Coturnix japonica: one gene and its partners. The protein of the gene in region 2 purifies or fractionates together with the protein of the main gene of each other region. This does not show direct contact. Links are inferred from orthologs where the notes say so. Each region holds a gene or a part of one and is shown on either strand. Other genes may lie near its edges.

Region 1 (3,649 bases), on a different chromosome or scaffold from region 2:
TCTAAGCACGCATGCTGAACACACAGAATCATGGAATGGTCTGGGTTGGAAGGAACCTCAAGGATCATCAAGCTCCAGCCCCCTTGCTGCATGCAGGGCTACCAACCTCCATATCTAATAATAGATCAGGATGCCCAAGGCCCCATCCAACCTGGTCATGAACACCTCCAGGTACAAAGCGTCTACCTCTCTGGGCAGCCTCTGCCAGCATCTCACCACTCTCTTGGTAAACAACTTACCCATGACATCCACCTTAATTCTTTCCTCCTTGAACTTAAAACCATTTCTTTTTGTCCTGGCATTATCTATCCTTGTAACACCTACAGCACTGCATACCTAGACAAAGTAGGAGAGCTATAAGAAGACAACAATGGCCAGCAGACATGATTTCTGCCTTTCTCCCACTGTCTCCCGCAGCACCTGTAATTCAGGGAGATACAAAGGCTATAAGCAACAAACAAACATCCTCACTTCATAAACAAATTTTTTCCACAGCCTGTTTGTATCTGACTCCCATGGTCTCCACTCACCCTTCACTATTGGTCTCTATAACTACGGTCACAAATGAACTAGGAAAATAGTATCACCCACATCACGCTACTGTTACACAGCCTAGTAGCTAAAAAAGACAATATATTATGCTTTCAAAATCCATTCAGACGATGGAGATGGTAATGAACAAACACAGTATTTTGAAGGATGTTAAATTATGACTACTTTAGTGCTTGAAATGAAGAGCAAGGTGGGCTATGTGCTTCTGACACAACCTCTTCTCTAATTCAAGTCTTGGCCTGCAGAAAGAAGGAAAGGGGCACCAGATGAATCCCTACTGCTAGCTAATTAGATCATACATTTTCTCACTTGGGCAATATATCTTCCCCTGCATAGGATGCATTTTTCTTCACTAACCTATCAAAAGCAGCTTCCCAATAAATCACAAATCACCACCAGCACTCCCTTAATGAGATCCTCCAGCTTTTGTGTTCATTTAATAAAACAATGTTCACCAATCTTACTGGTGCATTTAAGCTGTTTATTTGAAGTTATGGGAGGTCTTTCTGGTGCAGAGAGATTAAACTCACCCGTTAAAGGTGATCGTTCAGGACTCATTTCATCACCCATTCCTAAGGCATTCACCTCCCTGCCCCCATCTATCACATCACAGGTGGCAGACACACCTGGTATTCTATTTTCAAGATGAAAAAAAAAAGTCTTGTGTTGCAATCATATCATCAGTAGAAGCAGGGGAAAATGAACTACCTCCTTTAGATCAGCTCAACATCCAAAATAACTGTTATTCCTAATAGTAAGAGGTACAAGCATGTGCAGGCAAACTTCCATTCAGTCTATTGTAAATCAACACACACCCTCAGGATTAACAAGGCAACACATGTAAGTTAAAGCCAACCCAAGCCTAAAGAAGGTGAGTTGTGTCTAGTGACCCTAAGCCCACAGAGGAGTCCTCCTTTTCTTGAAATAAGAGCTTTCCCCAGCTAGTTCTGTCACCTTTTTCCAAGTGGATTTGTAAAAACAAAACAAAACAAAACAACAACCTATTCATTTTCTTTTCCAGCAGGCTCAGTGCCTGCTTAACCTCTAGACTGTATTCATGCTCCCTAGCTAATTCCCAGCATCAACATAGTGTTGCCAGTAAAATGAGCCCAGCTGCTATTCCAGATTCTTGAAGTGCTTCATAAACTCTGCTACAACATCTGCAGTCATATTCCTAGCACTGGGCATAAAAGTGGTTATAAAATATACGTATAAAAATATTGAAACACAGATTCCTGAAAAGCTTGCCTGAAAAACTACTTACTGTTTATTCTCCTCAGAAATTAGCCTTCCTTACCCAGGGGAGGCTAAAATAGTTCTGGAAGAGGGGAAATGTTACAGTTTAGAACTGCAAGGCAGTACTTAACTGGATGTTTTCACATACTGCATTAGCAAATATTAGCAATTCTTATATATGCAATGTCAACATCTCACACAGAGTGTTCTGTCCATGCCTTTACCCTTTGATACAAAACTTCCAGCTATACATGGCTGAATCAAATTCACTTAGCCAGTTTGTCTTTTATTTCCTGAGTCCTGTTTCCACTTCTGAAATCAGAATAGCTTGTTCTTTGAAATGCAAGGATAAGCAGGGAAAGTTTAACAACAAAGATGATTGATTCTAGTAAGGGATTGAGAACTAAGCCTAATGAGAACATGATGTTGCTAAGTTCAGCTGACAAGATACAAAATGAAATAAAACCAAATAAAATAACAAGCGCATGAAGAAGAAATGGCAATTTCCGTTTTAGACTTGCCCCTGGAATAAAAGAGGTATTCTCACCATATGACTCCATTTTACAGATAAGCCAATTTGGCTAAGACTGTGTGAAGTCCTTGCTTCAACAGAGCAAGCTGCTCCAGAAATTTTGTGACCGAGGGCCAGCAGAGGGCACTGCGTTACCAATTGACAGTGGTATAGATGCAAGACAGACCAGCAGTGGAAGAGCCTCGTTGAAGAAAACCAAATTCTAGTCATTAAAAAGAGATGTTAGTCATCACTATATCAATCCTAGAACTGATAAGAATAACACTGTTAAAATAGGTCTCAAATTGTGGGTGCTCCCACAAACACACCTAAATCCAATTCAATCCCCACACATCTGAGACGCTACGCGTCCATTTTAGGCCACAGACTTTCAACTGAAAATGCTTAGCAAGTAGTAGGGCTGAATCAGTCCTGCCCTGCGATGTATGTACCAGTGCTGGGTTGCTTAAGCAAAAAAGTATCCTGCCAGCTTCCCATCTCCTCCTTCAAATCTCTACATCCTTGCTTGTAGCAGCAGAAAGTTTGTTCAGACATGAGACAAGGCACTATTAACAAGGCAAAAAGCTGGCAATTTCCATTCTGCCTTCCCCCTTCTATTCCCTGCCTTCTCCAACCTAACAGACTTTCAGTTAGCAAAGAACCGAGGTAACAGACATGAAGGTGATGCTAAGGTAGCAGTTCCAAAACAATGTCTGTCCACTCACTTATTTCTAGTTTATTTTGAATTACCAGAAGATGACCGCGAAGAAGCAAAAAGCTCATCTTTTTTCCTCTCTCTGTATTCCAGTCCATAGGATTCTGGGCACTAGAAGAAGCTCTGAAGATAAGTCATCCCAGTCATGGCCCTCAAGCCAGTGAATGAAAGATTTCCACTTTTTCTTTGTACAGCTGGTAAAATGACTTTGCCAGGATGTTGAAAGGGGCCTCAAAATTTTTCATCTCCTTCTGTAGAAAGAAAATTGTAAATGACAGATAACTAAGCATTTCACTATTTCTGTTCAAACAGCTTCACAAAAGAGACTAAAACTGAGGGTGAGTTAAAGGACAAATAAGTGGAAATGAGTCCCCAGTCATTTACCCTCAGCTGAAAGAGAAGATAACTTCACAAATTCCCACTTCTATAGAAGGCGAAAAGAGCAGATACTCACTACTGACATCTCACAGTATTCCAGGCCGTGTTTGTCAGCCCATTCCTGCGCTTGTTTCTGTTCCACAACTCGACGACCAACCAGATCTGTTTTATTCCCCACTAAGACACCTGCAGAAAACAAAAAGAAACAAAGGAAATAGAACTCAGAAATGATGATTTGTTAGCAATAAATGCTGGGA
Region 2 (3,649 bases):
TGACTGTGTTGGTTTCTCATGTACCTTGGTCTGTCCTCATCTCTGGAATGCTGTTCTTGCTCCAGTACTTGGGCTCTGTATCTCTGAACCACTAGCTGCCCTGGTAGGTACTGTGCAAGTGTAGTAGTTAATTAAATCCTAGTGAATAATGCAAGTTATTTAGCTGCAAACTGTATCCAATCCAGTTCTGTAATTACAAGGCACGGAGTTCCAGGTTTAAAAAGCCAGTGCATAATCAATAGATGCTTCAGGCAATCTTTCCTTATATTTCTCTTCCTGCTTGCAGTCCATGTGAACTTTAAATGCTGTTAATGTGTGTGGATATTCTAGGCAGTAGTGCTAATAAATTAACAGGAAAATATTAGAGCAATTGGCGTCTTGGGAATATCAATTTAGCACATACCTCAGCTGGTTTAGTTCTGGACCTGTCACTGAAATGACCTATTGTAGCTGAACAGCACGTAGCAATTACTGCTAGAGCTTCCGCAGAAGTTCTCTGTCCCCCTTACTCATCACAGTTCCTGGAGCACGAGCACACTGAATGTACTCATTTGTTTAAACAGTCTGAAATATCTCCACTTTCCCCTCCTTATTCCTGTAATGTGTTATGATGTTTGGGATACTTCCTGGATTTGGAAAAGGTAGATACAGCAGGACTCAGAGAAGGGTGAAGGCAATGGGATAGACTGACTTCTTTTTTTAAAGTGACTTTTTTGTGGGTGTTGGTTTCTTTTCTTTCTTTAAAAATGTTTGGAGAAAAAAGCAGGTATTCTAATTGGTAAATGTCCACACGGTTCATTATCCTGGCCACAGAAAAAAAATATTGTCATTGCTTTGCTGGTTTATCTTCTAGCTCATTGTTATAAAGTTATTTGAAAGAATGCAGTAAGAGATAATGCAGAAGCATTATCAGCATCTGAAAGATAATTCTACACCATCCTTCCCTTTTAGGAAGAGGTCCAAAAGACAAAGGACATGTTGAGTAATGTGGCTTTGGACGAAGCCAACTTGGAAGCCAAGATTGAAAAAAGGAAACTGGAGCTGGAAAGAAGCCAGAAGAGGCTGCAGACCCTACAGAGCGTTCGGTAAAGATTATAAACTGATTATTCATTTTCTATGTCAAATTTTCACAGGATAGGTTACTACTCCTTCCTGTTATGCTTTTAGTCTTGAAGTAGTGTGAAACTTTAAAAAGAGAAGGTCCTTTTAGATTGGTTTTGTAGACATGGAAAAACAGCTGTGAAAATGAAAACGTTGTTGCAGAATTCTTCACGTACAGATCTGTATTTCTCTGAGTAGTTTGTTCTTGTTGTCTCCAGTCCTGCTTTTATGGATGAATATGAGAAAATTGAAGAGCAGCTGCAGAAGCAATACACTACCTACCTAGAAAAATTCCATAACCTGACCTACCTGGAGCAGCTCTTGGACGATCAACATCGGACTGAGCAGGAGATGTTTGAGGTAAAGCAGCTTAGAAGTGCTCAGCAAGACTCTGTGCTCTGTAGGCCTTGGCCATATAGCAGAAAGTGCTGTAATACCTGTTAATTGTTGTAGAACCAGCTCAGAATGACTGGCAGTTCACTGATATAAAGTGACAGCTCTCAGACAAACATGATACACCTTTGCTTTTTCAGTTGGTGAAGTTAAACCAGTGTAATGATGCCTCTTTCCAGTCTCACTTTCCTTGATTCTTTCAAATGACATTTTTTGATCATAGAATCATAGAATGGCCTGGGTTGAAAGTGACCACGATGCTCGTCCGGTTTCAACCCCCCTGTTATATGCAGGGTCACCAACCATCGGGCTGGGCTTAATGTTTTCACATCTTGCTTTAATAATGCTCTTAGTTCTTCCCCATATCTTTGGCCAAAAAAAAATAAAAAATAAAAAGTCTATTAAATCCTAATCCAGAAATTACACCTAAAATCTGATTATTTTTTTCCCTTCTGTTCAAATGTCGTTGAGACTTAATACCAAAAGTAGAAATGTTTTGAATATGAGTACCTGGAACTGCTTATGAATTCATGTACAGAAGTTAGTAATGCCTTGGCTTACAGCTCTTGAGAGAGTTTTTATTAAGAGATAATAAGATGAGGGAAAAGCCTTTGTCATTCAGGAGTGTTTCTGTGATTAGAATCTGAAGAGTGCTTTTCTTCTACCTCTGCTTATTCCTTCTATGAGAAACCTAGAGAATCCACCCATATACTTTGGCTTTTCATCCATTATGATAAGCACTCGGCAATACTTCAGCATTGTCCAGAATTAAAGTGTGTAAAGGGCCATGACAAAAAGATGTGGATTTTGTGCCTACTTCTGTTACTTGTTATTTGTGGTATGTATTAGCAAGCATCAGAACTGGCAGCATCTTTAATTAACATGTGCTTGATGTTAAAATACCGTTTAGTCTTCTGCATTTGGAATGTTCTTCTGCACTGGGTTGTTTCTTACTATGATCTCAAGTGATAAAGTTACCTGTGCATCTTTAAATGCATTGTGTTGGCTGCAATCAGCATCGAGTTTTCCACTCACATCTAGACCTACAGCTATAAGGTCATGAAGCAGAACAGGGGGTGCCTTATTTCAAGCTTGAACATAAGCAGTTTGCTCCAAACGGATGCTGTCTTTGAGATTATCATCTGTGTCATTTTCAGAATCAACAGAGGAAGCATAACAAGGATAATTGGATTTAATCTGTTACAGTGTGCAGCCTCTTGAGCTGTTAAACACACTGGAAGTTGTGTTATTTTTTTTCTAGTTGTATTTGTCTTTTGTTCCACCAAACAAATCTTAATTATCTTCTGTAGTGGAAGCGCGAGTCAACTCTTCTATCATTGCCATGCGTTTTGTTAAACAGCTTGCTAGGAAAAAGCAAGGGCAATGTAATTAGATTAATCCAGCACTCTAGGTACTGTTCAGTACTGAGAACTGATTCCCGGACCCCTTTCTTTGACTCATTGAATGTTTTTGAGAAGAACTTGTATTCTGATTGAGAGGCCATTGCTGAATAATGAGACTAATCTTTAGTGCCCTTAGCCTCAAAGCTGTTTTGGTACCCTGCTGACGTTGCACAGCTAATGACATAGGCCAGAGTGCATTTCCTAATTAGAAAAGTGATTTAAAGATTGTACCCAAGCACACAGTTTTAATTAAGTGACATTGAGCAGCTGAAGCAGCATGGCCTTTCCAAACCACAGTGCTGGCTCTCTGTGTGGGTTTCTTTGGTTTGTTCTTTCAAGTGGTGAATGTATGGCTGCATGGAGAGCTGCACTCTGCAGTCCGTGCTGTTGTGGTGTTGAGCTTCATATAGTCATAGAATGGTTTGGGTTGGAAGGGACCCTTAAGATCATCTCATTCCAATCCCTAGGGGACACCTACCCCTGGACCAGGTTGCTCACAGCCCCATCCAGCCCAGATATTCCCATCCTTTTTCCCACCCAATGTCTGCAGTAACATGGAGCACTGCCTGGAGGAAAGCTGGCAGGTATCTCCTGCCAAGCACTGCACTGAGAAACATCCCCCAGTATTAGGAGAATCTTGAAGGCTTGCTATTGAATCTCAGCCAAATGAATTGGCAGAACTGAACAGTTAATTGATGATGAAATTACCACCTGCAGAGTACCTGCCTGTTTGATGTGGGAACACTTTGAAA
Region 3 (4,176 bases), on a different chromosome or scaffold from region 2:
CCTCCATTCAGGCTAATGCAACACCTTTTCCTATAGGGCTATGACAAAACCCCAGCAATGCTTTAGGCAAAAACTGACTTATCTGTTAGTTCAGCCCCAGCAGAAAAGTCACAATAAAGACCAGAACACTTTGAAATGTGACATCTCTTCCCAGTGCCACACTTAAACTAAGCCGGGTTAATAAAATATTGACCATTATATTAATTACAGCACGTGGATGGTTCTCCTGGGCATTTCACTGATGTTATCACACCAACAATAGAAAGGCATTAAGGTAACTGCCAATTCACCCTTTCTCATTCTCTCCGCCTCGACTTCGTCCTGAAATACTTCTCTCACAGATTAGTTTCTTAATTAACATAGTGAAGATAAAGCAGTTTCTAAAGGTAAGATCCTTTCACTCCCCAGCCAGTTTTAATCACAGTATCCTAACAATGAGAAGCACCAGAAGTTCTTCAGTGTCTGTACATTTCAAGCATGAACCCCAGCACGGCCAGGTGAGCAGCCAGCAACTGCTGTACATTGAGTGGCCATAGGAACCCTGTAGTCAGGGATATCTTGAAGAAAGCAACAGGCATAAGCCTCCATTTCCCAACTGCTCTTTGAAAGGGCTGTGAGTGCAGCACAGCACAGCACAGCACCGAATGGCACAGCTGATCTCAGCAGCACCTCGGCCTCTGTCACCAAGCAGCAGGTCCCGTTCGGGGACGGAAAGCTCACAGCTCCACGTCACCCACAGCCAACGGGACACAAGTGACCTCCACCCGAGCTGGCAGCTGAGGCAGCAAGAGACGAGGCCTGGTTACAGATGTCAGCCTTAACGCTGCAAGCAGCCTCCACGTTACACATCACGCAGCGCACAGCGGGCAGTGCCCCCCAACCGCCCTGCGGCAGCGCCCGGTAAGCGGAGCTGGAGGCTCCCACAGGCCGCGCCACGTCCGGGCCCGGAGCGCAGCGTCACCCGGCGGGGCAGCACGGCCTGGAGCGGCCCGGGTCCATCGCGGAGCTGCGGAGCGATCCGACAGTGCTCGGGGACGAGGCCAGAGAACGGCAGCGGAGCCGCCGAGCGATGAGCGGCCTGGCCAGGCCCCGCGAGCTCTCCGACCCCGGTCCGGCCGGCAGCGGCCCCACGAGCGGCGGCTGAGCTCTGGGCACAGCCTTACCATGGCGGCGGCTCATGGCCGGGCACACCCTTACCATGGCGGCGGCGCTCGGCTCGGCGCTCGCTCCCTCGCGGCTCCGCGTCCCCTCGGGCAGCCCCACAAGATGGCGGCGCCGAGCCACGTCCCCAGCCGGAAGCGGCGCCGCGCACGACGCGAGGGGCGGGGCGGGGCGGGAGGACCCGGAGCGCGGCCCTGGGGGCGGCCCGCGTCAGTACCGGCCCCGGCCGGCAGGGGGCGACACCCACACGCGGCTGCGGGGCCGGGCCGCGGGCGCCGCTCTAGCCGGGAGAGGGAGAGCGAGACGGGGTCGCCATGGCGACGGAAGGCGGCGTCATGGCGGAGCGGCGGCCGGCCGAGGGGAGCGGGGACGGGCCGGGCCGCGCCATCGCCTCCCCGCGACCCTCCGCACAGCCTCGGCCCGTGGAGAACCAGCCGTACGACGAGAGCCTGGAGCTGCCGGACACCGAGGAGGCGGCGGGGAGCGAGAACCGGCCGCAGGGATCCCGCCGGCCGGGGCCGATCTGGTCGGGAGGAGGCGGCACGGGAGCGCGGCCCAGCGGGGCGGGAGAGCGCGGCAACGACCGGGAGGGAGGAGGAGGCAGCAGCAGCAGCAAGGTACGGGGGGAGAGGGGCGGTACGGCACGGGACGGTACGGCATGGTATGGTACGGTATGGTACGGTACGGTACGGTATGGCACGGTATGGTACGGTACGGTACGGTATGGTACGGTATGGTACGGTATGGTGCGGTATGGTACGGTATGGTACGGTATGGTACGGTATGGTGCGGTATGGTACGGTATGGTACGGTATGGCATGGTATGGTACAATACGGTATGATACGGAACGGTACTGCACGGTACGGTACGGTATGGCTCGGTACAGTACGGTACGATACGGTACGGTACGGTACAGTATGGCACGGTACGGTACAGCACGGTATGGTATGATACGGTACGATACAGTACAGTACGGTACGGCACGGCACGGTACGGTACAGTAAGTAAGGCCGCGTCCCTCCTGCCCTGAAGGAAACAGTGGCCAGGCTGGGACCCTCCACCGCCAGCGAGGACGACGATGATGACGATGATGATGATGATGATGACGATGATGAGGATTCCTCCGAGAGCGACTCTGAGGACTCGGAGGAGCGCGGGGCTTCACTGGAGGGGTGAGCAGCGGAGGGAGCCGGGAACCCGTGGCTTAAAAGGGTTGAACAGAGTTGTGCACGGACAGGAAGCCTCTTACAGTGAGAGTGTCCTGCTTCTGCTTTGGGGCACAGCTGGATCCATGTTCGTGCCTTTGTTCTTGTACAAAAACTGATAGGAAGTAATGTCTGCAAGAATTGCTTTTCCTCTCTTCAGTGACTACAACCTCGCAAACTATGACTACCTGCCGGTATCTCCTGAAATTAAAGAACTCTTTGAATACATAAGGAGGTGAGTTGAAGGAGCTTTCGCCTGCCCTGGGTTCTCCTTTGTCTCAAGGTCTTTGTCTCTGGCAGGAAATGTCAATTGCCCACTATGCAATCCTGTTGTTTTTCTCTCTCAAGATACACTCCGAAAACAATACAGATTGAGCACAAACTGCAGCCTTTTATTCCAGACTTCATTCCTGCTGTTGGAGACATTGATGCCTTCCTAAAGGTACAGTGTTTTCAGATATCCCCATACCTGCTGACACACAGGGTGAAACAGAAGGTGGTTTAGATATGAGCCTGGCAGACTGCAGCCACACTGACCTGGTGGTAGCGAGGTGCCCTTGCCCTGTGCTGCAGATACTGCTGTAGACACCTAGGAGATCACAAATAGCAACACTATGACCTGGCTGGTCACTTTGGTAACATCCCACATAGCACATATGTAATTTGGTGCAAGGGCTGCCTGTTTCTTTGTCCAACACCTTATGCATTTCAGGTACCGCTGTGTTAACAACTCGTATTTTCTGCTCTTTCAAAGCATCACGCTTACAAATTTCTTCTGAATTGAGTCTGAATTTCTAACAACAGGGAGAAGCTGTACAGAATAGTTCCAGCATCCCCTGCTACTCCCATAGAGGATTCCTTCTGTGTTTTACCTGCAGGTCCCACGCCCAGATGGCAAGCCTGATAACCTCGGTCTGCTGGTCTTAGATGAGCCATCAACAAAGCAGTCAGATCCCACAGTACTCTCTCTTTGGCTAACGGAGAATTCCAAACAGCACAACATTACAGTGAGTCATGGGGAGAGAGAAAACATTTACTGCACCCAGGCTAGAATGAAGACATTGCACTTTACTCTTTGTGGGACTATAGCAACACAACACAACTGATAACTTGGCTTTAAAAGCAGAAAAATAACCCTTTTTGACCTATAGCTTTAAACTGAAATGTATCTAAGCCCTGCCTCAGGCAAGTCTCAGTACAGACTTAGGAAAACCACCACAAAGTGCTTCCAGGTTTCTATTTTTGTTTCAGCAGCAGATAAAAGTGAAAAGTGTGGAGAATGCAGAGAAGAACCCCAAAGCCATTGACAACTGGATTGAAAACATCAGTGAACTGCACCGCTGCAAACCTCCTGCCACTGTCCACTACAGCCGGTGAGTCATTATGTCAGCAGAACATCAGGTCAGTGGGTGGCAAAGTCCAGGAGCACTGAGCAGGATGATCTCAGTGTCTCTGAGAGGAATAAGACGTGCTGAGTTTCAGGCCAGTTGTTCTAGCGTGTTTCTTTAGCCTTAGTGCTAAGACTGTCTGTCCCATTCACAGCAATGGCAGTAGGAAGCCATTTCAGCTTCTTGCCTGCAATCCTAATGTTTCTGTTTTTCTTTCTTCCTTTACAGGCCCATGCCTGACATAGAGACCCTCATGCAGGAGTGGTCACCAGAATTTGAGGAGCTCTTGGGAAAGGTATGGCATCCAAGTGTCAGGCACAGCATTACAAATTAAAAATGTTCAGGGCTCAGCATTAAAAATGATCCCACTTGAAATCTAGATTTCTCTTCCTCTTTGACCAGTTTGCTTGCACCCTGTTCA

Evidence for each region.
Region 1: the proteins of CLUAP1 (region 2) and IFT27 purify together in Homo sapiens (affinity purification with mass spectrometry; 3 studies listed by BioGRID and IntAct, with this or other methods). This does not show direct contact. The link is inferred for Coturnix japonica from reciprocal best matches to the Homo sapiens genes CLUAP1 and IFT27.
Region 3: the proteins of CLUAP1 (region 2) and IFT46 purify together in Homo sapiens (affinity purification with mass spectrometry; 3 studies listed by BioGRID and IntAct, with this or other methods). This does not show direct contact. The link is inferred for Coturnix japonica from reciprocal best matches to the Homo sapiens genes CLUAP1 and IFT46.

What each region holds. Positions count from the first base shown.
Region 1 is NC_029516.1:47,150,570-47,154,218, reverse strand, and holds part of IFT27 (intraflagellar transport protein 27 homolog), read right to left. Parts: intron 3,579-3,649; coding exon 3,469-3,578; intron 3,266-3,468; coding exon 3,167-3,265; 3' UTR 1-3,166. UniProt on the Homo sapiens protein: Small GTPase-like component of the intraflagellar transport (IFT) complex B that promotes the exit of the BBSome complex from cilia via its interaction with ARL6. Not involved in entry of the BBSome complex into cilium. Prevents aggregation of GTP-free ARL6.
Region 2 is NC_029529.1:11,260,147-11,263,795, reverse strand, and holds part of CLUAP1 (clusterin-associated protein 1), read left to right. Parts: intron 1-951; coding exon 952-1,085; intron 1,086-1,319; coding exon 1,320-1,461; intron 1,462-3,649. UniProt on the Homo sapiens protein: Required for cilia biogenesis. Appears to function within the multiple intraflagellar transport complex B (IFT-B). Key regulator of hedgehog signaling.
Region 3 is NC_029539.1:4,769,280-4,773,455, forward strand, and holds the start of IFT46 (intraflagellar transport protein 46 homolog), read left to right. Parts: upstream 1-1,375; 5' UTR 1,376-1,475; coding exon 1,476-1,778; intron 1,779-2,194; coding exon 2,195-2,334; intron 2,335-2,527; coding exon 2,528-2,602; intron 2,603-2,715; coding exon 2,716-2,809; intron 2,810-3,245; coding exon 3,246-3,374; intron 3,375-3,618; coding exon 3,619-3,740; intron 3,741-3,983; coding exon 3,984-4,050; intron 4,051-4,176. Other genes in the region: ARCN1 (coatomer subunit delta), read right to left, coding at 1,164-1,166. UniProt on the Homo sapiens protein: Forms part of a complex involved in intraflagellar transport (IFT), the bi-directional movement of particles required for the assembly, maintenance and functioning of primary cilia. May play a role in chondrocyte maturation and skeletogenesis.